Linked DNA regions of Ovis aries. The protein of the gene in region 1 purifies or fractionates together with the protein of each later gene. This does not show direct contact. Links are inferred from orthologs where the notes say so. Each region holds a gene or a part of one and is shown on either strand. Other genes may lie near its edges.

Region 1 (2,559 bases):
TGTCCCTTCTCTAGCCTATCTTAGTGGGAACACAGGTGTGCTTACCTTGGTAATAGTTGAGTTAAGGACTTAAAATTGTGTATTTCTGGTGTATATATTGTACTTCAATAAAATGTTTTTAAAACAAAATCAGGGTTGCATTATCTGTATTAAGCTGGCCATTGATGATCTTCCCGTGTCTCTCTCTGTCTCTGTCTGTCTCTTCAGCTTTTCACAGAGGTCCTCCGGGATCAAGGGGACCAATGATCCCACCACTGCTGAGTCTCCCACCTCCTCCCCGGGGCAGAGGCCCAATTCGGGGAGGCCTAGGCCCCAGGTCTGGCCCATATGGTCGTGGTTGGTGGGGGGTCAATGCCGAGCCTCCTTTCCCTGGACCAGGCCACGGGGGTCCTTCCAGGGGAGGCTTTCACAAAGAACAGAGAAATCCTCGAAGGCTCAAAAGCTGGTCTCTTATCAAGAATACCTGCCCACCCAAGGATGGACCCCAGGTTATGGAAGGTGAGGTCCATTTTTTTATGCCTGCACACATTTAATACCCATCACTCCCAGAGCGACCTCATGCCTAGAATACCCATGGCTCTTGTGCTTTGGGTTGTCCTTTGTCCTTTTGGAGTAGGAGTAGCCCTGAATGTTTTTTCTCCCTCGAGAAAGTCTGTCATTCCATAATACCTGGAAATGGTAGCAAGTAGGAAATCTGACCTTCTCTCTCTCTGCTTTTTGTTAGATTTGTTTGTTCTTACATTTTAAACTGCCCGATTTTTGCTTGTTCACAGACAAATCTGACCGCCCCGTCTGCCGACACTTCGCCAAAAAGGGCCACTGTCGATACGAGGACCTCTGTGCCTTCTACCACCCGGGCGTCAACGGGCCCCCGCTGTGAGGCCGCCTCCCCACCCAGACTGGAAGGGGCCCCCGGCCTGGCGGCCACGTTCTCCCCTGCGGCCCTGTGCTGGCCACCGTGAGGCTGTTCCTCGCGCCACCCCCAGTCAGTGACGCCCACCCCCCTCACCGCCCCCTCCCACTGGGGGCCCAGAGTTGTGTTCCATGACTGGTGTGCGGTGTGCACTCTTCTGATCCAGCCTCCAGAGACATCTCCAGGACCGTCCCTGCTCCATTCAGCTGCCTCCTGGGTCCTCCTCCCCCTCGCCGGCTGACTGCGGAACAGGAAACCTCTTTGGTGCTGTTTCTTGTGCATCTGTCCACCCAGCCCCCGGTATCGCCCTGGATTCCTGAGAGCCCTGGAGCAGTTTCCTACCATCCCCTCCTCGCTGCTTGTTTTTAAGTCCTTTTCGTGTGACACCCCTGCCCCAGCGTGGTCGGCGGCCCTGTGACGCCCGTCCGGTTGGCTGACCTGGGGTCAAGTGTGGATGACTGGTGCAGAGTCACTTCCCGAGAGGCCACACTCCCCGCTCTTGGATCTGGTAGTTCCTGCGTCAGTAGCATGATCCCCACCGCTGTGGTCTGTGCTCACTGTGCTTTGTGAAACTCTGCATCCCCCTGCCCCTCACCCCCATAGCCTTTCTCAGTGTCCGTGGCATTTTCGTGACCTCCCAACACTAGAGTAAGTTTTTCTGCCAAAATGTGTGGGGCCGTTGGTGCCGCCTAGACTTTCCCCACCCCCCGACGAGGAAGAACTGTGAAACTCCACAAGACCGCCTCCCTGGTCGTCTCATCCTCCCCATGTCGGTTCCTCGGGATTGACACAGGCCCGAGAGATGTCATCTGAAGGCTCAGATGGGCCTCTCCTCTCTCCAGCCCATCTTAGACTGCATCATCGTGAGGCCACCAGCCGTTTCATTTGAATTCTGTGAATCTCCACCTGGCCAGTGGGTGGAACTCGGACAGTACTGTCGCCCTCTTCCAGCCTTCTTCCCCTGCATCCCTGGCACTGGTTGTTTTCTGTGAAAACGGCAGTGAACAGGTTCAGTTTTGAACTGGCCCTGAGGAAATGGGTCAGGAGTTGTGTGGGCAAGAGGGAGGGATGAGAGCTGTTGGAGAACTGAGAATGAATTTTTTTTTTTACATTTTTTTATATTAGTAATAAATGCAGTGGAAACAAGCATTTTCTTTAATCCCTGTGTTGCGGCCATCTCTTGAAGTGCAGAGGAGGCTGGGAGTCAGTGTATGCTTCACTTAGAATGTTGACATGTTTTTCCCAGTCTGAAGAAACCAGCGGGGCCCCTTACCCTGTGGAGATCAACCGGACCAGCTGCATTATATTCAAGGGCTAAGTTTTGTTGGAGAAAGGAACGACCTGTCCATGGAGTCATTTTTAAACATTTTACCTGTGTTTATGGTTATAGAGTGGAGGTGGCAAAGCAGTCTTTGAGCAAATACTGGTAGAGTGCCTGTGGGCCAGGCAGCATACAAGACACTATAGCAATAACAGAGAGCCAAAATCAATGAACTTAAAATCTACAAGAGGAGACATGTTCGTCAAGTCACAAATATGTGTAATGTACCTGTCTAAAGTGCTGTGAAGAAGCGAGACATGGGGGAATACGTAATAACGATTCTGGGGAGGTGACAGCTGAGACAAGCTTTGAGGACAAGCAGAAG
Region 2 (3,985 bases), on another chromosome or scaffold:
TAGATGTAGATGGCGGTGGTGGTTTAGTTGCTAAGTCGTGTCTGACTCTTGCAACCCCATGGACAGTAGCCTCCCAGGCTTCTCTGTCCATGGGATTCTCCAGGCAAGAATACTGGAGTGGGTTGCCATTCCCTTCTCCAAGGTATCTTCCCAACCCAGGAATCGAGCCCAGGTCTCCTGCATTGCAGGCAGATTCTTTACCAACTGAGCTACCAGGGAAGCCCCCAGATAGAAAGTACCAATTTGTCATCAGCACTTGACAAATTGGCACTTGCTAACTTGCATTCTATGTACCAATACTACCAGCAGAGCATATGTTTAAAGGTGAAGATCAGACTTAGATTGCCAAGGTTTAGAACTTGTTCTCACCTAACAAGCTCTTGGATCTCAAGCGGAATATTTAGCCACCTGAACTTTCACTTTCCTTGGGTGCAAAATCTATCCTTTAGAAGTATGGGGACTAAATAAGGTAGTACCATATAACAGCGCTTGCCACACTACCTGTCACATAAGGTTCTCATGGTAGCTATTTACCTGGCTTAAAAGTACTGGTTTAATATTAAGAGAAACTAACAAGTAAGAAACATTAAATCTATTATCTATTATTCCATCAATTTGGTCGCCTAAATCTGGCTTCCCTTGATCATCTTCCCATTACTGCAGTCTCTCCTGGAGAAGGAAATGGCAACCCACTCCAGTACTCTTGCCTGGAGAATCCCATGGAGGGAGGAGCCTGGTAGGCTACAGTCCATGGGGTCGCAAAGAGTCGGACACGACTGAGCGACTATACTTTACTCCATTTCACACAGGAGGTAAAAACTCTAAGACTTCAGTGTTCTCCAGAAGGTGAAAGAAAGAACACTGGTAGTTAATACAAACACAAATCCTTCGCCGTCCTGTGACGCGTTTCTGGCGAACCCAGCATAGGGTCAGCCCATACCTACCTAACCCCGCCCCTCCAATTTCTGGAGGCGGAGACAAATCACAACGCAGGGTGGAAGTCACCTAGCTTCCGGCTAGCTACGCTGGAATTGAGGTGCACAAACGGCCTCCAAGGCGATTTACAGATCGATTGTTTATTGGCTACTAGCAAGCACTCGCTCTCCGCATTGGCTGTTACTGCCCGGCGCCAATGTTCGCGCAGGATGTTCGCTGCAGCTAGTGAGAGTGACAGACACTGCACCTAAATTTCCGGTTCCGGTTCACCGCTGGCGCCATGGCGACCGTTAGAGGGTCGCGGTATCTGCTGACAATAGGCAGATGGCGCCGCAGCTTTGGAATAGCGCCCCAGTTCCGAGTGAGTACCTATTTTCCCTGCTTTCAAAAGAAGCTTTGGACCTCAAGAACAGCTCCTCTCCGAGGAGGTGCGCTTTCGGCAGCTCCTCCTTTAGCCTCCCGCAGCCATCCTCTGTGCCCCCTATTAGCTTTCCTTTTTCTGCAGGCGCTTGCTGCCCTCGTGCCCGGCGTATCCCACGTGGATAACAAGTCCGATTTCCTGGGGAAGAGGCCCCATCGCCGGCACCCTGGCATCCTGCAGCTGTCATGCGTGCGGCTGCCGCAAGGATTGGCTGAAGCCGCGCAGTTACTGCTGCTAGGTGAGTAAAGATGGGAAATGGAAGCTCAAGAAGCGAAGATTGGACCCTGCGTACAAGTGATTCCTCTTTGCATCTTTGGTCCATAGAGAGCTCGATGCCCAATATGGAGAAACAGGTGCAAGCCCTAACCAATTATCTCTGGAGCCGGCATTTACCTGTAGAGCCAGAGGAGCTACAAAGACGGGCTGTTCTTCTTGAGAAAAAAATCCTGGAAAACGCAGGTAGGTCTTTTCAAAAATAAAGAGTAAGCCAAATAGAAAGAGCAGAGGGAAATGAAGAGCTAGTAATAATTCTGCAGCCTCTTAAATAGATACTGCGATTTCTTATTTGACTTTCTAATCAGAGTAGTTATTCATAATGTTGCCTTTCTAAAAGAAGAAAAGTAATTTCAGAGATTGCCTATTAAATTCAGGGCTTTAGTAAAGATCAATGAGTTATTCCCTGACTTCTTGTAGTACCTGGTTTGTAGTAGGCACTCCGTAGGTAAAATAGTACTGAAGTGAACACAATTGTAAGACAAGTTTTTCAAGCCCCTTTCCTTCCTATAGGAACTTTGGAGACATCACATTATTAAATTGGGGGGAAGTGAAGAAATCTACAAAGTACTGTCTATCCTATCCTTTAACTTTTTATTACACTTGCTTTTAATACAGAACAAAACCTGTGAGATAGAGTTGGTTGAATTGAATGAATTGCTGTTAGAGGCAATATATTATCTGATATACTATGGTGGTGGTGGTCATTATTATTCTTACCTGAAACTCTTCTCTAGTTTGGCTTCTCTCTTAAGCATTTTCCATGTGGGAATTGGTAGGGAATGGCAGGCAGTAAATTCAGATATTGTATCTGAGCCCTGTTCTTCCTAGGTCCTTACTTCCAGTGCTTGTTCTTACCCCAGACTCATGTCAGACAGAGAAACATCATGAAGAAGTCCTGCGTGCCTTGCGCAGAACTACCTATCATTGGCAAGAATTGAGGTAAGGGAGACTAGAAGGGCTGCAGAAGAAGGAAAAGTTTGGCTTTTGAGAAGGAGAGTTGGGGAAATACAATTACACCATTTAGTGTGTGAAAAGGCAATCTGGTTTATAAGCCTCCCTAAGACTTGTCTGTGTTGATCAGTGAAAGGGTTGAGCTGGAAGAGCCCTTTGCAAAGATTTCATTTCCTAAAAGTCTGGAGGGTAGCTGCAGGATAGAGATTAATTCCCAGTGGTATGTCTGATTTTTCTGGCAGCTACAATGAGGGACTGAGCCTGGTGTATATGGCAGCAAGACTGGATGGTGGCTTTGCAGCAGTTTCCAGAGCTTTCCATGAGGTGAAATTCCCTCAACTTCCAACCAGAAACTTTACTATCAGTTCCCTTTTTCATAAAGTAATCTGGGGCAAGATTCTTGGGACATTACATGTGCATTTTTTTCGAGAGGTTGTCTTTATCCTCTGAAAGGAATTTTTGACCCAAAAAAAGGTTTAGAATCACTGTTCTAAGACCTTTCTATTCTATAAGGCATTTACACTGAATCTTGACATTCACAGCTCATTTCCTCTGTTGCGGTCCCCTAATTCATGTTTACCAAGACCCTAAATAAGTGTCTGTCTTCCCCACTGTGGGGTATTGAATATTTCTTCAGATCCAAGCTCGCCTTCCAGACTTCCAGCCACAAACCTTGATGGACTTTGGCTCGGGTACTGGCTCTGTCACCTGGTGAGTATCTTTCTCTGTCTCTGTCAGTTCCAACTCTAGAGAGTTAGAGCTAGCTTATGCCACGTCAATATCAAGACACTGGAGAACCAAAGGAAGAAGAGAAAATTGGAACTGATGTGTTTCTTCCCTCAGATTAGACAAGGCATGAGAAGGTATATAAATTAGGGTCAGAACTTAAAGAAATGTCAAGTGAAAAAACCCACATTTAGAAGGATAAAAAAGGAAAGGAATTTGATCTCGGACAGGGATTTACATGTCAGCAAGATTTTTGTGTGTGTGTTCATATAGTTTTTGAGTCTTCTTAACAGTTGTAGATGAAACAAGAAAATAAGATTGCTAGTTTTTCCAACTATTTTAACATAGCGCTCTGTTTCCTCAAGGTTGGGTTAGGGACAGAGGGGTCTCTTGTAGGAATAACTTTGTCGTAAGAACTGAAGATTTATTTTTTGCCACTTTAGGGCTGCTCATAGTACTTGGGGTCAGAGCCTACGTGAGTATATGTGCGTGGACAGCTCAGCTGCCATGTTGGAATTGGCAGAAAAGCTGCTGAAAGGTGAGGACAAAATGTAAGGAAGGGCTTTTCCAAAGTTGAAGGCATTTGCAAAGCAAAGGAGTACCAGAAAGGGTCTTTTACTGGGGAGTAGAGGAGAGGCCGGAAAGTTAAAGATGGGTCTGATGCGATGACCCTGT
Region 3 (4,176 bases), on another chromosome or scaffold:
AAGTAGGTTGTGTCCTGTCCCTCCGTCTTTATTCAGGCTGCAAATTATGAATGCACAGGAGATCTTTCAGAAGAGAGGTTCTAAAATACCGTGGGGCCTTTTTGACACAGCACACTCATGTCTGAGCCCCAAATATGATAAAATCACTTGCATCCTTGCCAAATTTCATGCCAGTCCTGTCTGAATTTGTGCAGATTTATTTAAAAATTGACTGTTTAGGAACTTCTCCAGCAGTCCAGTGGTTAAAAGAGTCCACACTTCCACTGTAGTGGGGTGTGTTTGATCCCCGCTCAGGGAACTAAGATCCTTCATGTGGTAGTGCCAAAGGAAAAAATAAAAAGAAAACTTCTTGAACTGAATAAAAATGAAAATACAACACACTAACTTAAAAATTATTTTTAAAAATTGACTACTTAAATCTTTGAATTAAAAAAACTAAGTTTCTTGAGGTATACTTTACATACAATAAAATCTACCCTTTTAAGGTATTTAGTTCAGTAAGTTTTTGGCAGATTCATACAGATATATAATCACTGTATACCAAAAAGTTCCCTTATGCCCATTTTTAGTAGATTCTCATTCCCTCACCCACTCCAGCCCTTGTCATTGTCAACCACTGACTTTCCCAAAAGGTCATGTAACTAAAATCAGAAATCAGTCTTTTAAAATCTTTTACTTCTACTTATTTTTATTATTTATTTTTTTTAATGAATCATAGTCTTTTATATTTTGGCTTAACTTTTTTGTTGTTGTTTTGGCTGCGTAACCTGGCATGAGGGATCTTAGTTGCCTCTTTGTTAATCTGTTTCCAGTTCACAGATGCCAAGGCATAGCATAGAGTTAGCATTCAAAAAATGTTGAATGGGTGAATTTATGTCCTTATGAATCTAATCACAGGACAATTTGTTTACAGTTTTGAGATTTATTTCTACCTTTATAAATAATGCTGTAGTGAACCTGTTTCTGCCTTTGGCCTTTTTTTTCCCCCCTTTTGGATTACGCACCAGGCTGTATGCTTTGAAGCAGGTTCACTGAACAAATGAGTGCGGATTTTGTTTTTTCCAATTTGCCTTACAAAATTATGCACAGTGGCGGTTTTTTATTTTTTTTTAAGTCAAAAGACTCCGAAGAATTGCAATGAGGAGAAAACCTGGCTTTGTCCTAAGACCGGTCCTCTGACCTGCAGTAAATACCTGCTCGGCTCTGTGCTTCGGTTTCCTCAAAGTCACAGATCGTGAACTTCTGCATTTCCTTCCCGGTTAAAAGCAAAGCTCCTCTTTCTCACCACTCGGTGCCTAGCTATTCCGATTGACAGTCAATCTGACCAATCAGCGTGCTGTGGGAGATCCCGGGGCAGTCCTTCCGGACTCAAGCGCACTGTCTTCGCTCCGCAGATGGGTGGCTGTCGGGTTTTGGGTCAGGCCTGGGGTGGCTGGCGGCGGGGTCTGGGGATCCGTGCAACGCCCACAGCCGCAGGCTTTGGCACCAAGGCCCGGTGATTACACAACCTCCGCCCCGCTTTGTGTAGAAGGGAGGAGACTGGGGCTGGGGGAGGGTAGAGATCTAGATATGGGTTCTAATTCATCTCTGCTGTGTGCCCCTAAACTAGTCGTAGACCTCTCTGAGCCTCAGTTCTCTTTTCGGTACATTGGGGCCAATAGAACCTGAGATTTCGGGAAGCTCAATCCAGGCTTCCTGAAGCATTCATAAGAAGCCGCAGGGTTTGGGAAGATGTGTGTGGAGATAAGAGTGGGCGGCACTTCCGGAAGCAGTGATTCCTCTGTTTACCTAACCTTTCCCAGGCATCAGCTGCAACGTCGAGGCGCCAGCAAACCGTCGGATCCCCCGGGTGACCAGTGTTTCCCAGGACTGCTGAGACCGGGGACCTTCAGTCGGGAAGAACTGGTCGATGTATTAAGGGCGGCTGTGGTGGACCGTAAAGGTGAGGGGTGGGAGGGACAGGTGCCGAGAGACCTGGAAGGGGAGGAGTCTTAACCCGAGCCTTCTGAGGATCTGGTTCGGTAGAGTACTAAAACCTGTGGGGTCAAATCCTGGTTCTCCCACTCGCAACCTCACGGCTACGTGGGACCAGCTAGCCACGTACTAACCACGTACCACGTGGGACCAGCCACGTACTCTCTCTGCCTCAGCATCATGGGATGCAGCTGTGGGGAGGGAGAGTGTAAATAACCAGAGAGCTTTGCACTAGTAGGCTCTCAGTAAAGTGTTAATGTATTGGGGGACAAAACGGGCTTTGGAGTCATATCTAGCTCTGTGATCAGCTTGCTGTGTGGCTTTAGGAAAATAACAATGTCTCTGTGCCTCAGTCTCAAGTGATTTATGAATTTTCTCAGCTATTTATTGAGCACAGGCTGTCTTCCAGGCACTGCTCTAGAACAGGGCTGTCTGGTGCTGAACAAAATAAATATGGTTCCTGCCTTCAGGGAGCCAACCTTTCAGTGGGAGAAAATGATTAACAATAATATAAATGAAAAAAATACTTACTAGTGATCAGTACTGTTAATAAAACAGCGGTGGTAAGGATCTGCAAGAAAGGAACAGACATCAGATTGGAGACCCAGGCCTCTTTGTGACAATCACATTTGAGCCATGATGATATAAGGAGCAAGCCACGTGAAAATCTGAGACATGGAAAGCAACAAGTGCAAAGGTCCTGAGGTTGAGGCAGCAAGCTGAGCATATGCAAGGTTCAGAAAGAAGTTCATTTCAGGGCGTGGTTGATAACTCCGGTATGAGAGTTGTACTGGGACCACATGATAATATGAATTGAGAAAGTCTTTGTAAATTGCTTTTTCTGTTGCTGATGCTTATGTATTACATGTTTCAGGACCTCTGGTGACACTGAACAAGCCACAGGGTCTGCCAGTGACAGGTATGGGCAGGGAAAAGAGATGCAGTGAAAGGGGTTTTGATGTGTCTGAGAGCAGACAGTATCAAAGAGAAGGGATGTTGCCTCTGAGAGCAACTTTTACTCTTCCTTTTTTTTTTCCACCTAGGAAAACCAGGAGAGCTGACATTGTTGTCAGTGCTGCCAGAACTGAGCCAGTCCCTGGGGCTTGGGGAGCAGGAGCTCCAGGTTGTCCGAGCATCTGGGAAGTAAGTGGTGGAAGTGATAGAAAGGTAGGAAGATAAGCATCTATTTGGGATGGGGGCAGAGCCACTTAGGAATAAACAGACATTTTCCACTGGCTGCTTTGGGATCACAGAGGTAGGAAACAAAGAAAAAGAGGAGGAAGTGGACAGATCTGGGTTCAAATCCTTATGTACAAACTGATCTTAGGTGTCACTGAGCCTTAGTTTCTTTAACCATAAAACAGAATTCACAACATTTGTGCTCAGTGTATAGTCACTTCTCCAGTCCAGTATTCATAGCCGGCATTGTTAACTGATCTGTGATACTCTTTCCTCTAATAGCCATTGTTAGAGATGGTGCTTGAGATGAGATGTTCCTGCAGTTCCACAAACTCATAAGCTTGTTTATGGGGAATTGAGCCATTCCCTTCTCCAAGGGATCTTCCCAACCCAGGAATCAAACCCAGATCTCTGACATTACAGGCAGATTCTTTACCATCTGAGCCACCAGGGAAGCCCATTTAATAGCTAGTATATATGAAATTCCTAGTAGAGTGCCTATTGGTAGACAGTCAGCAGTTGGTAGTAATTGTTATGATGTTTGGCTCTGAGCTCCCTGGGAGCCAGAGCAAAATGAGAAACATGTTTAAGCTATGTACTCTTATTATCAAACACGGGGAAGACTTACTTGTTTCTCAGGAGGAGGTCTGTGTTGTAGTCCAGATGTTACTCCTCGGCCTTCAGTGGGTCCGTGTTTCTTCCTCAGGGTCTCCTCTTTTTGCGGGTGATCTCAGGGGATTTTAACTTCTGTGATTTGTCTTTCTCCAGGGAGGCCTCGGGGCTTGTGCTCCTCTCCAGTTGTCCCCAGACAGCAAGCCGCCTCCAGAAGTTCTTTGCTCACTCACAGAGAGCCAGGAGACCCACAGCCACGTACTGGTGAGAAGGGCTGGGAAGCTCCAGGGCAGCGGGGAGGTCCCAGCAAGCAACTCTGTGACGTCCTCCTGCCTCTTTCTCAGTGCTGTCACTGATGGGATCCCAGTTACTTCTGAAGGGAAGATCCAAGCAGCTCTGAAACTGGAACAC
Region 4 (4,120 bases), on another chromosome or scaffold:
ATCATCACAGGAGGATGCTCAAAGGGCCGTTGCTATCAGCGTCCCCCTCAGTGGTGCTGTGCCACCCTGGAAAAAATTCCTTCAGGCTCCTTCCCATCCCCCAAGGCAGCAACAAATCCTTCTTCTCGCCTTCTTTTGGACAAAGCAGCCAGAGATTTAAAAGTCTTTGGTTCATAGATGGCTAGATCTGCAAGTACTTTCCTGTTGAGCTCCACCTGGCACTGGGAAGAAAATCTTTGTTAAATATTTTAGCATTTCAGTGAAACATAAAATGACTCTGAATGCAGCTGATCACCCTGTGATTTCAGTCACCAATACATACTGCTTGAGCACTAGTGGGGGAGAGGGCATTGTGAGTCTTGTCCAAGTAGGACACGTGAATAGAAGGGAAGGGCGCAGCTCCCAATGCCAGATTCCTGGCCTAAGTTATCCCTTTAAGACAGGTGGGAAGAGGAAACCACAATTTCCATTGTATAAATGGTGAAAAATGACACATGGAAAAGGAATGTGAGGCACAGAAGCACAAGGACCAAAACTGGGCATTCTGGGCTTCCCAGGTGGCTCAGTGGTGTGAAGAATCTGCCTGCCAATGCAAAAGACATGGGTTCAATCCCTAATCTGGGGAGGTCCCACATGCAGTGGAGCAACTAAGCCTGTTGTTGGCCTAGTGCCCCTGCCCTACAAAAGAAGCCACTGCAATGAGAAGCCCACGTGCCACAACTAGAGACTAGACCCTGTTCACCATGACTAGAGAGGGCCTACATGCAGCAACAAAGACCAAGCACAGCCAGAAATAAACAAAACTGGGCATTCCTAATTTCCGTAAGAGAGCCCAAGTCATCTGTCGAGTAAGAGAATAGAAAACCAATGGACAGTGCCTGTGAGTCTGAGGTGCAGGGAAAAAAAGGGGGTGGTCTTATGACATTAAATGCAGCTGTGCAGGAGTGACTCCTACTACCTAGGACCCCTGTGCAAAATCCCTCTCCTTTCTAAGCCAGTTTCCCATGAGTAAAATGGAAGTGTCACACCTACACTTGCCCTGAGGATCTCTGTAAAGTGCCAGGCCCACCTGGCACAGGAAGAAGCACAGCACCAACTCACCTACTCCCCAAGCTTTTTAAGAAAAAATTTAACTCATAAGAAAGCAGAGGGAGTAGGGACAGACTTCCTGGTGGTCCAGTGGTTAAGTCTCTGCACTTCCACTGCAGGGGGTTCAGGTTTCCTCCCTGGTTAGGGTTAGGAATTGAACCCTGGTTGGGGGGAAGTTCCATATGTCATAGGGTGCAGCCAAAAAAGCAGAGGAAATGGCATACTGTCTAGATGCCAGGGAGTGAGATGCTCTGACACTTGCTTACTCTAACATTCCAAATGTTTTGCTACATTTAATTATGTTTCAACTTGATCTGCCACCTTGTCATAATTTATTCAACATGAAAAATTTGAAATTAAACTTCAAAGTTAAAGCAAAGTTTTTCTGTTTTTCATTCTTGATGGGGAAACAACATGATTGTGTCTTGGTACCACACACCCTATTACTAATTCTGCTACCAGCAGGGCAATGAAAGAGCAAGTGAGGTGAACCCCAGAACCCACCAGAACCCCACCCCAAGAGTGAAAGCAGTGGGCCCCAATGCCAACTCTTAAGTCCTCTGTAATCTTGGATTTCTCTAATATTAATAAAGACACCGCCGCCCCCCCCCCCCCCCAAAAAAAGAATGAAAACAGTGTTAGGCTGCTAATACTCCACGGTGGAGCCTGCTAGAGCATGAAAACTGGACGGGTTATAAAGACGTTCAATGTCTCAGCAGGACCACATCCTCGACCATACCTTAATCAAATTGAGGATGAATGCTGGGTATTTCAGACCATGTTCCTGGGAGGCAGCTGTAATTCGATTAATCCAGAGCTGAAATGAGAAAACGTCGAAATGTTTGAGAACCAGCTGTATGTCACGTCCACACCTCCCAGCAAAGGTTCTGACTGAACTAAAAAAATTTTTTGTAAAAGCAGATACAAAAGTCAGTGGCCTATGCAGGCTGCACTGCAAACAACAGTGAGCAAAGCCTGGTACCCTTCGTCCAAATGCCAGGTGTAAAGCTCACATCTCGCACAGTCGAGCTGGAATACAAAAATCAGCGAGAGATGCTGGGGCAGACACCACTCCGGGTGTAGAAAAAATCCCTGTGTGGGAATTAGGACAGCCACTGAGACGGGTGCTACCAGGCAGGGACGGAGCGCTCCAGGGTGGAAGCTTCAGGAGGTGAGCAGCCTGGAGGGGAGAAAGCGGGGGCCCCGCGAAGGGCCGGGGTTACGTGGACAGTGGCGTCCGCTCCAGGGGGGAAAGCTGCGTCGGGAAAGCTGCGAGGGCGGGAGGGTTCGCCGGGTCGGGGCCACCCACGGCTGCAGGGCGCCGCGGGCTCAGGAGGGCAGGGTGAGGCCGAGAGGGCCGCGCTTACCGTCCGCAGGTTCCTTTTCTTCAGACTGCGGGCTCGCGTGCATCGCACGAACGCTCGCGTCACAGCCCTGACGGCCAGCCGGTAGCACCGATTCTTCCTCCCTTGGAAGTGCTGGTTAAGAAACGAGAGAGGATGCGGTCGGCGGGGCCCGCGCATGCCGGGCCGGCCAGGGGAGCGGAGCGCGCGGCACACTCACCCGCGCGTGCTTCAGCACCTCCTGAACCCTCCAGTAGCGGTCGGTGATGCGGTTCCGCAGCCAGAGCGGCGCACTGAGGAAGACCATGACGCCGGCACCGCCGTTTACCAAGGCGTGTGTTGCTCGGCCGCCACACCCCTCGAAAGCTTCCGGGTCAACTCAGCCCTCCTCAAGAGAACTTCCGGCCGTCGCGCGTGCGCTTCGGGCCCGCAGCGACAACCCGCCTCTGTACGCATGCTCAGGCTAGGGGGCGGGGTGGTGGGCCCTCCCGCGACCGGGCCTAGGCGGGGGTCCAGCAGAAGGGTGGCAGAGAGTGGTTCCTTCTGCGGACCCGAGCAACGCTGCTTTTCACAGCGGGGCAGAGTCTCCATTGGGCCACTGAGCTGAGCACTTTCAAATGATTGGAATGACAGGTTTTATCCCGTGTGTATTTTGTCACTGTTTTACCACAGGCCAATGCAGGAGACGTCGGTTTGTTCCCTGGATAGAAAAGATCCCCTGAAGAAGGAAATGCAACCCACACCAGTATTCTTGCCTGGGAAATCCCGTGGACAGAGGAGCCTGGCGGGCTACAGTCCATGAGGGTCACAGAGTTGGACCCGACTTAGCGACTGAACAACAACCACTATATTACCATTATTACGGAAAATAATGAAGAGGCAAAGTGGGCGTGTGCAATTTCTTAGTAACTTTTCATTTAATTGTAGTTTTCAGTTCGGTTCAGTCGCTCAGTTGTGTCCGACTGTTTGTGACACCATGGACTGCAGCATGCCAGGCTTCCCTGTCCATCACCAACTCCTGGAGCTTGCTCAAATTCATGTCCATCCAGTAGGCGATGCCATCCAACCATCTCTTCCTCTCTCGTCCACTTCTCCTGCCTTCAATCTTTCCCAGAATCAGGGTCTTTTCCAATGAGTCAGTTCTTCAATCAGGTGGCCAAAGTATTGGAGTTTCAGCTTCAGCATCATCAGCCCTTCCAATGAATATTCAGGACTGATTTCCTTTAGGATGGACTGGTTGGATCTCCTTGCAGTCCAAGGAACTCTCAGGAGCCTTCTCCAACACCACAGTTCAAAAGCATCAATTCTTCAGTGCTCAACTTTCTTTATGGTCCAACTCTCACATCCATACATGACTACTGGAAAAACCATATCTTTAACTAGATGGACCTTTTTCAGCAAAATAATGTCTCTGCCTTTTAATGTGCTGTCTAGGTTGGTCATAGCTTTTCTTCCAAGGTGCAAATGTCTTTTAATTTCAAGGCTGCTGTCAGCATCTGCAGTGATTTTGGAACCCAAGAAAATGAACTATGTCACAGTTTCCATTTTTCCCCATCTATTTGCCATGAAGTAATGGGGTCAAGGCTATGGTTTTTCCAGTGGTCATATATGGATGTGAGAGTTGGACTGTGAAGAAAGCTGAGTGCTGAAGAATTAATGCTTTTGAACTGCGGTGTTGCAGAAGACTC
Region 5 (4,063 bases), about 20 Mb from region 1:
AAGCACAGAGTCTTAACCACTGGATGACCAGGGAAGTCCCCTATCACGCTTTCTTACACATACATATCATAATTGAGATGAAAAATATTATTCTTTCTTGTGACCATAAAACTCTAGGTTTTTAGAAATATTTCTTCTGGGTTATCATTACAATTATTATGAGAGCAGAAGTGATAAAATAGCATAAAGATTGTACACATTTTCATAACTTAAAAGTACATGTAAAATGAGATAGACGAGATGGTGTTTATGATGCCTTAAAAGAAATAGGCTACATGTCATTTTTTTAAATTAGAGGATAATTACATTGCAATATTGTTACATTTCTATTTAAGACAAGGTAAGGGAAATCCCTGATGGTCCATCAGTTAGGACTTGGTGCTTTCATTGCTTGCGCTGGGGGCCAGTTCCATCCCTGGTTGGGAAACTAAGATCCCTGCAAGATTCAGGGCGTGGCCCAAAACAAACAAAAAACAACCAAGGTAAAACAAGGTAAAGTTATCCCTAGATTTCATGGTTAAGAACTATACCTTTTTTCTTTTTTTCCTTTTTAAATAGAGAGGGAGAAAGTCTATTGTAAAAGAGAAAAGGAAGGAGAAGCTCTAGTGCAAGCATTTATTCAGGAAAACAAATTTTGGGAAAACTGAGACTCTGGAAATTAATCCTTTATATGTCCCAAATCCAAGTATCCTTAGGCGAGTCTCCGTGTTCCCCAATTTAAGACTACAGGCTTAGACGACTGGAGAGAAGTGGTGTAGGATTCTTTAATGGGAGTGAGGGTTTGAGGGTTTGGAACTCCTGAGGGCTTGGGGATGTAAGAGACTGTGGTCCTAGAAAGTGGCAAGATGCTCACCCTCTGTGGAATTCTCCAGGATGCGGGAAACTGAGAGATTGGAACCATGTTAACCTTTCCGGTTTCCTCAGAAGTTCACCTCTGGGCCCAGCTTTGCCTCTTCGAGCCCCTCCAGTTTCCGTAAAGTTGGTTTAGGGTGAGGGTGTGGGCGAGGCGGGCGCCAATGTTGGTTTCTTCTCTCTTCCTTCGTCAGCTCTCCCAGAGGAAGAGGAGGAGACGAGACTCAAGGTATTTTACGAGCCTCGAGCCTCGTTTCTTCTCACAGCTCTTACAGATTCTGCTCAGAGCCCCCTCCCCACATTGCCTGTCCTCAGGCCCTAGAGGTCCTGGACAAAGCACAGCCTCCTTGTCATCAGCGCCTGCGCCTCGGGAACCCCCTCCAGAAAACGGCGGAGAACCAACTAGGTCCCACCTACTTGGTTGGTCATTACTTCTGTGGTGGAGCTTGGAAAGCACGCCAACAATCGCAATAATAAGAACACATTTGTATAGCGTGTTGTGCTCGTTTGTATGCGTGTGTTACGACTTCATGATTGGGAGATGTAGGCACCTGGATGTAGAAGTAGCTTCTGGGCAGCTGCAAGGGAGCGCGCAGACCACAGAAAGAAATGACAGGTACAGTCGACTGAGCCGCGGAAACCGGGACCTGGCAGGTAGGAAAGTAGCGCCACAAGGCTTGTCAAAAGCCCAGCGGCTAGGAAAGGTTTCATTTCCCTTTTAAGACACTCCTGCCTTTCCGTGCCTCCCTGTTCAGCCTTGGAGGGCCCAATTCCTCACCCCGCGCTGTTCCGTTATTTCCTCCCCCGACCCGGCCCCCCGCCCCCCCACGTAGAAAGGTGGATCAGTCCTCCCCGCACGCGACTAGCGGTGGTTGGGCCGGGATGCGGGAAGTTTCTGATTGGCGGAGTCGCGGAAGCACCGGGTGAAAAGAGCTCCACTGACGGCGGGCCCCGCTCCCGGCGCAGCCAGAGCCGTACGCCAAGATGGCGGCCCCCAGGTATTCAGGACGCCCGGAGGCGACAAATCCGCCCCCTGCAGGTCAGGGTGAAAGGAGCCGCAGACGAGGTGGGCGGCAGGGGAGGCTCTAGGAGGGGCGGCCCTCCCTCCCTGCCTGCCTGCCTGCCTGCCGGCGGCACAGGATTCCGTGCGACAATATGGCCGCGCCCAGAGCGTGTGGGCGGAAGCTCCGCGGCTTCCGGTAAGAAGTGGGGCCTGCGGTGGGAGGGGGAAGGAAGACGGAGGGAACCATGCGAGGTTCTGAGATCCGCGGAGAGGGTCGCCTCGAGAGACCGTTTCTGAGGTGGGGGCCGGACGGTGTGGGGAGCGAAGGCGGGGGCAGGACTGTCGAGGGAGAGGTACTGGGGAGTCCCCGGCGCGGAGTCTGAGGGGCAGGCTGTGGGATCCTCCTTCCTATCCCTGAAGGGGAGTGGGGCGGCCAGGGGCTGAACTGGGGGAGGGGGACTTGGCGGGAAGCTCATTTAGGGGAAGGACTGGACTCAGGGCTGGGATCTGAGAGAAATCGGGAGAGCCCAGCGTGGAGCTCACGATTGGTTACAGGTCACTGAGAGAGAATGGGGGAAATTAGGGTGGGGTGAGAAGGAGGGGACTTGGGGTGAAATATCTTCAACCTAGCGCTTCGGTTTGAGGAGACCCATCAGAGGGTGGAATATAGAGATAATTTAAGTAGGAGAAAAGGGAATGGATTGTTGGGAGGGAACCTCCTTCTCAAGGGGTCTCCGAGTTGGGGTTATCTTTCAGAATGGGGTGAGAGTATAGATTTGATATGTGTGAGAGAGAGCGAACAGGGAAAACGGTGGTGCCAGCGGGGCTGTGGTGTCTGTTCGAGAGAATGTCAAGGAAATCTGTAGTGCAGCGAGAGAGGTCGTCCAGGGGTTGAGAGGAAGACTCAACTTGGCAACTCTGAGAAATAGTGGGGAAAACGAGACTGAAAGACCGGATACATGCGTGGGGGGTGGAGCTGGAGGTGGGACTTCAGGTTTTCAGAAGGTTTGGAACTCCCCTAGTAAAGGGCCGGAAAAACGTACAGTACTAATGCTTGCTGAAGCTAGGAAATGAGGACACTGTTGGGCATGGCTGGGTGCTTTTGAAACCCAAGACTGGAAAACGTGTGAGATGAAGGGATGGGGCGGTGCTGGAGGGGCTCTGTCTGAGGCCCCATCCCCTTCCAGCAGGAATTACGAAATCCCCAACACTTCCTCCCTCCGGGGGATTTGATCCCCTATGGCTACCGCTAACAGCATCATCGTGCTGGATGATGATGATGAAGATGAAGCAGCTGCTCAGCCAGGGCCCTCCCACCCACCCCCTAATCCGGCCTCACCCAGGGCAGAAGCCCCTGGCTCCTCTCAGCCCCATGGGGCTGGAGGAAGCAGTAGTTCGGGCGGCAAGAAATGCTACAAGTTGGAGAATGAGAAGCTGTTTGAAGAGGTGAGCTTTAGGGGAGAAGACTGTCGTGCCCCAGGGAGGGGGATGGCTGCTTGGCTCTGTCCTTTCTCCCCCACTAACCCCACCTCACCTTTCTCTCAACCCTATCCTTTTGTCTTTTTCTCCTCCCTTTTCCCCCGTGAACCTTCCAGTTCCTTGCACTGTGTAAGACGCAGACGGCGGACCACCCTGAGGTGGTCCCGTTCCTCTATAACCGGCAGCAGCGGGCCCACCCTCTGTTTTTGGCCTCGGCGGAGTTCTGCAACATCCTGTCTCGGGTCCTCTCTCGGGCCCAGAACCGGCCAGCTAAGCTCTATGTCTACATTAACGAGCTCTGCACGGTTCTCAAGGCCCACTCAGCCAAGAAGAAGCTGAACCTGGCCCCTGCTGCCACCACCTCTAGTGAACCCTCTGGGAATAACCCTCCCACAGACCCCTCCTCGGACCCAAATGCTGAGACCACTGGCTCTGAGGCCCCAAGGACCCGTGGTTCCCGGCGGCAGATCCAGCGCTTGGAGCAGCTGCTGGCACTGTATGTGGCAGAGATCCGGCGGCTGCAAGAAAAGGAGTTGGATCTCTCAGAATTGGATGACCCAGACTCCACTTACCTGCAGGAAGCAAGGTTGAAGCGTAAGCTGATCCGTCTCTTTGGGCGGCTGTGTGAGCTGAAAGACTGCTCTTCACTGACAGGCCGGGTCATAGAGCAGCGCATCCCCTACCGTGGTACCCGTTACCCAGAGGTCAACAGGCGCATTGAGCGGCTCA
Region 6 (3,500 bases), on another chromosome or scaffold:
TTTGTTAGAACCCAATTTGTATTTCTTTATATCAGTTAAAAATTTTTTTTTTACCTTGATAGAATGGATAACAGAGACAACGTTCTTGCCTGGAATACTAGTTTGAACAATATAGTGGATATTATCTTTGTGCTAAGAATATTATTTCATTGTTAAAAATTGAAACTAGAGATAATGGAGGCATAAAAGATATGTAATGCTTATTGTTTTTCAAGGTTCAGATGGAATATTTAGTACCTACCATCTTTTGATCTGATTTTACTTATTTGAATGAAGCTTAAAGGCATGTTATCAGTTAAGATTTCAGTAAAAAGCAATAATACATGCTGGATTCCAAGTTTTTCATATACAACATTTTAGGAATAATTCAGCCAATTGCTTATAATAATGTGTGTCCCTAAACCATTTTCTCTTATGTAGATACTGCCAAGCAAAAAATAAAATAGTAAAAAATACATTTTCTACTTAGATACTCCTCTTTTTAAAAAGATTTTTTGAAAAATTTCCTTGAATAAGAGTGATTTCGAATACATGAATACGTTTGCATAGAAATTATGTGGTAGACTTATTTATAGACTCCTCTGTAAAAAAAAATATATATATATATATATTCAGAGGGACTGTTTATACACACATGTGTTTATATACGTATATATACATACTATACACATGCATTTATGAGGAAAATTTTCCTATTTTCTTTATAAAAGTAATATATACTTGTTTAATAAAAATTAGAAATACAGGAGAAAATCATAATTATAATAAAGTATAAGAATAGTTATGCTTTAGAAACTGATTATCTTATAAATTCATTTTTCCTCCTATGATACCAGTATCTGCCATTTTCCTTTCCTTATAGGTTGTAGCTTTGCTTTCTTTATTCTCTTATCTGTTGAACAGTGAGATAAAGAATTTCATATACTTTTAGACTTTGTAGTTTTAATAGACAAGGCCTGAAACTGATATAGCTTGGTGAGGAATAGATTAAGGACTCTTCTGAAGATGTATTTTTGAATGGTGAATAATCTTTCTTTATAATCTTTCTGGAATTGCTTCTTGAAGAAAAGGTATTCATAGTATTTATAGTTAGAGTTTTCATACTAGGATGGCAAAATATAGATCAGTTAATTTCTTTTAATAAAAACATTTTATTAGTTATTTTTAAAAGTTTAAGAAACTATTAAAACATGGAAAAATGCCCATATCCCATGTTAAAATTAAACCAATGTTTTTAAATTGTCATTTTTTACATAATAATTTGCTTACAAAGAATAAACATCTTTTCTATAAGAAAAATGAGATATAACTGAGTTATCAGAATTCTTTGTTTGTTTTGAATGAAATTGTAGATGGAAAGGTTTATACAAATGCTTTGTTTCTACATGCATGAAATTTGAGGGGGAGCCAAAATTTGGGGAAGAAGAGAGAAAAGCTAGAATAGAGCACAGAATCAAAGATCAAATTGGAAACTGCAAAAATGGGCATTTAGTTCTATTGGAAGCATCATTTTTATTTTAATAAGATATTACCCTTAATTAAGTTCTGTTACCTAGTTTTCAGGTAAATAATCTGCTAGCGTAAGAATGATGGAATTTTAGAGGTATAACTTGATAATTCATTGAACTTCAATTCCTAAAGACAAAAGCCCTGAAAAGTTGTTTTTTTATATTTATCAAGTTCTTAATAATTATTCACATGTTTATTCATTATATATTTTTGTTAGCATTTTTAGGCTTTAGCTATTTTATTTCATTTGTGAAAGAAATATTGAATCCAAGATATTTATTGAAACAGAAGCAGAATGTGGGGATAAGCTATTTTAACTTATTTTGAAGGCAGAGTAATTATAATTGCAAGGCTCAGTGGAAGTTTATGAAATGTTTATGACTTATTCTTTTTATGTTTTGTTTATGTATTATATGTAAACACAGCAAAGCAAATGATTGTTGTTTAGTCTCCCATTTGTGTCCAACTCTTTGTGACCCTGTGGACTGCAATATTCCATGCCTCTCTGTCCCCCACCATCTCCTGAAGTTTGCCCAAGTTCATGTCCATTGCATTGGTGATGCCATCCAGCCATCTTATCCTCTGACGATTTTCACCTATTTGCTGTATCTACCCAATTATTTTTTTCTTGCTTCCTTCCTTTTTTTGTTCACATATTTCAAAATCAGTCTCTCACATCATGTCATTTTACTCCTCTGTATTTAGATTTGAATCTCTTAAAAAATAAAGGCATTTTTCCTATACAATCAAAATCCAATAATCAGTCCCAATAAAATAATCATTTCCCCAATTCTCAAACTATATTTATTTGAAACAGCATTCAGGGAGGACTCACTCATGCACTGTATTAGGGTGTCTTGTTTCTTGAATCTCTTGTGATCTAGAGCAGTTAGTTCCTTTGTTGACTTTTCTTAGGAAACTAGGTCAGTGGTATTATGACATGTACCACATTCTGGATATGTCTCTTTTTATTGCTATACCCTGCGTATTTCATGGATGTGGTTAGCTCTCAAAGCTTGATTAGATCCAGTATTTTGGCAAGAACATTTTTTTTTCTTTTGGCAAGAATATTTATAGGTAATGCTGTGAACTTTATATTATACTGCTTTAGGAATTACTTAATGTCTTCTTTGTTTTTTAATGTCTGGTTTTCCACTGAGATGTACGCTTTTAAAAAAATTATAAAATTCTTGACTGCCATTTTTGCTGCATTTATTCATAGAATTTTAAAACAGAAGAATCTTAGCATTTATCTAGTTTAATCCCTTTATTTAACAGCTAAAGGATATTAAACCTCAGATAAATTAAAAGACTTGCCCAGGATCACCTACCTCATTAGTTGTAAATTTAGTTCTGTCTGAAAATCTTCTCTCCTGACTCTAGTCCAGTATTATTTCCATTTTGCCATGCTGTAATTTTTAGTATGCTTTTGAAATCTGTTTGGTTTTAAGATATATGCAAATGGAAGAGAGGTGGAGTAGGTGGTTTTCTAGTAACGGCCATTAGCATAGATGTATTTAAATAATTTTAAAATGTTAAAAGACATTAGGCATCAATATATGACATTATAATTGTTTAGGATTTCTTATAGACTGTCATAAAAGAGGTTAGGAGTTTTGTAAGGGAAATAATACTTTGGTATCTAAATTAAAAATTTTTATAGGTTGTTTTTAATATATTTTTGTATTTTTTAAAAAATGCTATCTTTGTAAGTATACCCTAATAGTACAACCCTTTCTTCTAAATGTAATAGAAGAATGAAATTGCCTTTTAAAATACTATTCCATAAATCACAGAATCATTGAACTTTGGTTTGAAATGGAGTCTGCTTGGATCTTATGTGTAACTGATCTTTGCTTCCTCCTTTTCACTCAAGAGTACTGATGAAATCTCCAGCTCCAACACTACACCAGCCTCAGAAGTACAAAGATAGAGGAATTTTGCATCCTAAACGAAGCACTGAGGACCGGTCAGATCAATCTTCTGTGAAA
Region 7 (3,500 bases), on another chromosome or scaffold:
CTGACCATCCCGGGCATCAAGTACGTGGTGGACTGTGGGAAGGTCAAGAAGCGGCACTACGACCGTGTCACCGGCGTGTCCTCCTTCCGCGTCACCTGGGTCTCCCAGGCCTCAGCTGACCAGCGGGCTGGCCGCGCGGGCCGGACAGAGCCCGGCCACTGCTACAGGTGGGGCTCCCTGGGGCCCCTCAGTGTCCTCAGGGCTACTGTGCAGTGGTCACCCACCCTCGTCCGGGGAAAGGGGGCCCCATGTCCCGCTGGAGGTCGGCACTTGCATCGTTCGTTATTCTGCTACTGATAGCAGGCCCTGTGTTGATTAGCACCTTTGTTTTTATTTTATTAATAGCTTTATTGGCATCAGATTCCCATAGCATAAAGCTCACCATTTTGAAATGTGCAATTCTGTAGATTTTAATATGTTCAGAGTTGTACAACCATCACCACTATTAATTTTCTTCTTAAAAAAATGTATTTTATTTATTTATTTTGCTGTCCCGGGTCTTAGTTGTGGCGTGTCGGATGTAGTTCCCTGACCAGAGAATGAACCTGGGCCCCCTGTATTGGGAGTGTGGAGTCTTAGGCACTGGATCACCAGAGAAGTCCCACTACTGTTCATTTTCAAATATTCTCATCACTGCAAAAGAAACCCAATACCCAGTAATCAGTTTCTCCCCACACCTCCCTACCATCCCCACCCCCCAGGATCTGGCAACCACTATCTACTTCCTGTCTGTATGGATCTGATCATTCGGGGCATTTTCTGTAAAGGAAATCAGACGGTATGTCACCTTTTGTATGTGACGTCTTTCACCCCACATCATGTATTCAAGGCTCATCCATAGCCTGTGTCAGTGCTTCGTTACTTTTAATGGCAGAACAACATTCTGTTGCACACTGGAGGGACCCCATCTGTTCATCGGCTGATAAGACACTTGGATTGCGTCCACATTTTGGCCCCTGTGTATAGTGCTGCTGTGAACACTCATGTACAAGTATTTGAATGTCTGTTTCCATGTCTCTCAGGTAAATACCTAGGGAGTAGAATCTCACAGTTATGTGGTGATTCTGATATTTTGAGGAACACGCCAGACTGTTTCCGCAGCAGGCACCCCATTTTATATTCCCACCTGCAGTGTGTGAAGGTTCTAATTTCTCCACGTCTCACCAATGCTTGCCGTTTTCCACTTCATGGGAAATGAAAGTACAGGTGGTATATCGCAGTGGTCTTGGTTTGCATTTCTCTAATGACATTGAGCATCTTTTCACATGCTTATAGGCCATTTGTACGTGTCCTCTTGAGGGATGTCTATTCAGATCTGTCGTTTATTTTTCAGTCGTGTCTGTCTTTTGATTGGTGAGTTGTAAGTATTCCCTGATGATCCTGTCAGAGGTAGATCCTTGTCAGAGGTATCATTGGCAGATAATTTTCTCCCAGTTTATGTGCTGGTCTTTTTTTTTTTCCTTCAATAACTAACTTTACACTGTTCTTTTCAACTTTGCTTTAAATTACAAAAAAGAAAAAAAAATGAGAAACTATGCAAAGAAAAGTAGTAAGAAATAAAGTGCCAGGCACAGTTCCAAGCACTCTGTGTGACACCTAAAGTATCTTCACCGGGGACTTCCCTGGTGCTTCAATGGTAAGACACCACACTCTCAGTGCAGGGGCCGCAGGTTCGATCCCTGGTCAGGGAACTAGGATCCCACATGTTGCACGCCGCAGCCAAATAAATAAATAAAGTATCTTTCCCAGTCTCGACAGGGTAGCTGCTGTGTTAGCCCATCTCACAGGTAAGGAAAGTGAGGCAGGAAGAGGGTAAATACCTTGCCTAGTAAGGTGGTAGAGTCAAGATTCAATCCCAGGTAGTTTGGCTGAGTCTCTTTGTTTACTCCCTTTTCTTTTTTTAATCTCTGGTGCTTCCTTCTGCTCAGACTCTACTCATCTGCAGTTTTCGGTGACTTTGAGAAGTACCCGCCTCCTGAAATCACCCGGAGGCCAGTGGAGGATTTGATCCTTCAGATGAAAGCTCTCAACATCGAAAAGGTCAGTTGTAGCCACAGCCCTGGCCTCGCTCCAGTGACCTGCCAGTGTCCCTGAGTTCAGGCTGGTATTCTTGGGCAGCCTGAGCCCCCTCATGGGCTGTTCCCCATTCCCTGTGGCCCTGAGAGCTGAGCCACGTGGTGCTCACCCAGCCCCCTGGTGGTCTCCTGTGAGACCCCTACCTTCCCAGTACTGTGCCTTCTGAGGAGAGCGTGGTCAGTGACCTTGGGACTCAAGAGATGTTCTGCCCACTTGGTCTTCTAGGGGAAGGGTCACTCGCCTCTCCCCTGCTCCCTGAGGGGTGGTGTAGGCAGAGAAACCCCCTCCCCATCAGCTGTCACTCCCAAGCCTTCCTCCCTCGAGCCACTGGCAACCATGAGTCTTTTTATCTCTGTGGAATTTACATTTTGGACATTTCATAAAAATAGAATCCTTTGATACTTATTCTTTCTTATCTGACTTCTTTCAGTCAACATTGTGGATTTTTGTTTGTTTTAGCCAATTTAAAATTCATTTATCAATTCAGTTCACAGTAAGATAACATCATAAAAGAGAGGATCATGCTTTTCATTACATTAGTATGTTTGGGTTTTTATTTTTCACTGTCAAAGAACCTAGCTGACAGTTTGAATTAGTTTATTTCGGAAAATATTGTCAATTGATAGCTGTTTCATATTTCTGTGTTTTGGTCATCCACAGCTGAACTTACCAGCGGTTGTGTTTTAAAGGTTTGTCCACACTGACACACGTCAGAGTTTCCTTCCTTTTTATGGCTGAATCGCACTCCATTGTATGGATGGATGGACCATAGTTTGTCCAACTGTTGATGGACATTTGGGTTGTTACCACCTTTTGGCTGCTACAACTAATGCTGCCATGAACATTTGTGTACAGCTATTTATTTGAACACTGGTTTTGAGTTGGTCACTCTTTCTAAGCAACCCTCAGGCAATCCCTGAGCCTGGTCGCTCTCTGTTCCCCGATCACCTCATTGTCTGGGCACATTTTCTCCCGTGAGACTGTTTATTCACGTGAGACTGAGTATCACTCACTGGTCATCTGCAGTGAAAGCTCAGTGGGGCCAGAGCCCTTGTCTCGTTCGTATTATTTTTTTCATTTTGTTTTTATTGGCGTATAGTTGCTTTACAGTACTGTGTTTATTTCTGCTCTACAGGAAAGTGAATCAGCTATATGTGTATGTATCTCCCCTCTTGCTTGGATTTCCTTCCCGTTTAGGTCACCACAGGGTGCTGAGTAGAATTCCCTCTGCTATACAGTAGTTTTTTGTTTGCTCTTTTATGCATAGTGTCGGTAGTGTTTACATGTCAATCCCAATATTCCAGTTCAGCCCTTGTCTTGTTTTATCAACCTCTGTCACCAGGAACAGCACCTGGTGCACATGAAGTGCTCAGTACATGCTCTCGAGTAAGAGACAATGTGAATGAATGAACAAAAAGAGCCTT

The links.
Region 2: the proteins of PRR3 (region 1) and METTL17 purify together in Homo sapiens (co-immunoprecipitation; 3 studies listed by BioGRID and IntAct, with this or other methods). This does not show direct contact. The link is inferred for Ovis aries from reciprocal best matches to the Homo sapiens genes PRR3 and METTL17.
Region 3: the proteins of PRR3 (region 1) and RPUSD3 purify together in Homo sapiens (co-immunoprecipitation; 3 studies listed by BioGRID and IntAct, with this or other methods). This does not show direct contact. The link is inferred for Ovis aries from reciprocal best matches to the Homo sapiens genes PRR3 and RPUSD3.
Region 4: the proteins of PRR3 (region 1) and MRPL20 purify together in Homo sapiens (co-immunoprecipitation; 3 studies listed by BioGRID and IntAct, with this or other methods). This does not show direct contact. The link is inferred for Ovis aries from reciprocal best matches to the Homo sapiens genes PRR3 and MRPL20.
Region 5: the proteins of PRR3 (region 1) and DAXX purify together in Homo sapiens (co-immunoprecipitation; 3 studies listed by BioGRID and IntAct, with this or other methods). This does not show direct contact. The link is inferred for Ovis aries from reciprocal best matches to the Homo sapiens genes PRR3 and DAXX.
Region 6: the proteins of PRR3 (region 1) and YTHDC2 purify together in Homo sapiens (co-immunoprecipitation; 3 studies listed by BioGRID and IntAct, with this or other methods). This does not show direct contact. The link is inferred for Ovis aries from reciprocal best matches to the Homo sapiens genes PRR3 and YTHDC2.
Region 7: the proteins of PRR3 (region 1) and DHX37 purify together in Homo sapiens (co-immunoprecipitation; 3 studies listed by BioGRID and IntAct, with this or other methods). This does not show direct contact. The link is inferred for Ovis aries from reciprocal best matches to the Homo sapiens genes PRR3 and DHX37.

The regions. Positions count from the first base shown.
Region 1 is NC_056073.1:27,530,346-27,532,904, reverse strand, and holds the end of PRR3 (proline-rich protein 3), read left to right. Parts: intron 1-207; coding exon 208-498; intron 499-773; coding exon 774-880; 3' UTR 881-2,059; downstream 2,060-2,559.
Region 2 is NC_056060.1:24,452,300-24,456,284, reverse strand, and holds the start of METTL17 (methyltransferase-like protein 17, mitochondrial), read left to right. Parts: upstream 1-1,185; 5' UTR 1,186-1,216; coding exon 1,217-1,297; intron 1,298-1,441; coding exon 1,442-1,595; intron 1,596-1,681; coding exon 1,682-1,816; intron 1,817-2,493; coding exon 2,494-2,572; intron 2,573-2,826; coding exon 2,827-2,908; intron 2,909-3,221; coding exon 3,222-3,295; intron 3,296-3,753; coding exon 3,754-3,848; intron 3,849-3,985. UniProt on the Homo sapiens protein: Mitochondrial ribosome (mitoribosome) assembly factor. Binds at the interface of the head and body domains of the mitochondrial small ribosomal subunit (mt-SSU), occluding the mRNA channel and preventing compaction of the head domain towards the body.
Region 3 is NC_056072.1:16,849,285-16,853,460, forward strand, and holds the start of RPUSD3 (mitochondrial mRNA pseudouridine synthase RPUSD3), read left to right. Parts: upstream 1-1,376; 5' UTR 1,377-1,394; coding exon 1,395-1,495; intron 1,496-1,802; coding exon 1,803-1,942; intron 1,943-2,848; coding exon 2,849-2,893; intron 2,894-3,017; coding exon 3,018-3,117; intron 3,118-3,921; coding exon 3,922-4,029; intron 4,030-4,109; coding exon 4,110-4,176. UniProt on the Homo sapiens protein: Catalyzes uridine to pseudouridine isomerization (pseudouridylation) of specific mitochondrial mRNAs (mt-mRNAs), a post-transcriptional modification necessary for their translation.
Region 4 is NC_056065.1:50,449,560-50,453,679, reverse strand, and holds the start of MRPL20 (large ribosomal subunit protein bL20m), read right to left. Parts: upstream 2,801-4,120; 5' UTR 2,740-2,800; coding exon 2,653-2,739; intron 2,568-2,652; coding exon 2,457-2,567; intron 1,907-2,456; coding exon 1,829-1,906; intron 222-1,828; coding exon 48-221; 3' UTR 1-47.
Region 5 is NC_056073.1:7,643,072-7,647,134, reverse strand, and holds the start of DAXX (death domain-associated protein 6), read left to right. Parts: upstream 1-1,263; 5' UTR 1,264-1,506; intron 1,507-1,736; exon of another isoform or gene 1,737-2,051; intron 2,052-2,082; exon of another isoform or gene 2,083-2,208; intron 2,209-3,042; exon of another isoform or gene 3,043-3,045; 5' UTR 3,046-3,094; coding exon 3,095-3,301; intron 3,302-3,450; coding exon 3,451-4,063. UniProt on the Homo sapiens protein: Transcription corepressor known to repress transcriptional potential of several sumoylated transcription factors. Down-regulates basal and activated transcription.
Region 6 is NC_056060.1:2,411,301-2,414,800, forward strand, and holds part of YTHDC2 (3'-5' RNA helicase YTHDC2), read left to right. Parts: intron 1-3,385; coding exon 3,386-3,500. UniProt on the Homo sapiens protein: 3'-5' RNA helicase that plays a key role in the male and female germline by promoting transition from mitotic to meiotic divisions in stem cells.
Region 7 is NC_056070.1:50,903,202-50,906,701, forward strand, and holds part of DHX37 (probable ATP-dependent RNA helicase DHX37), read left to right. Parts: coding exon 1-167; intron 168-1,928; coding exon 1,929-2,040; intron 2,041-3,500. UniProt on the Homo sapiens protein: ATP-binding RNA helicase that plays a role in maturation of the small ribosomal subunit in ribosome biogenesis. Required for the release of the U3 snoRNP from pre-ribosomal particles.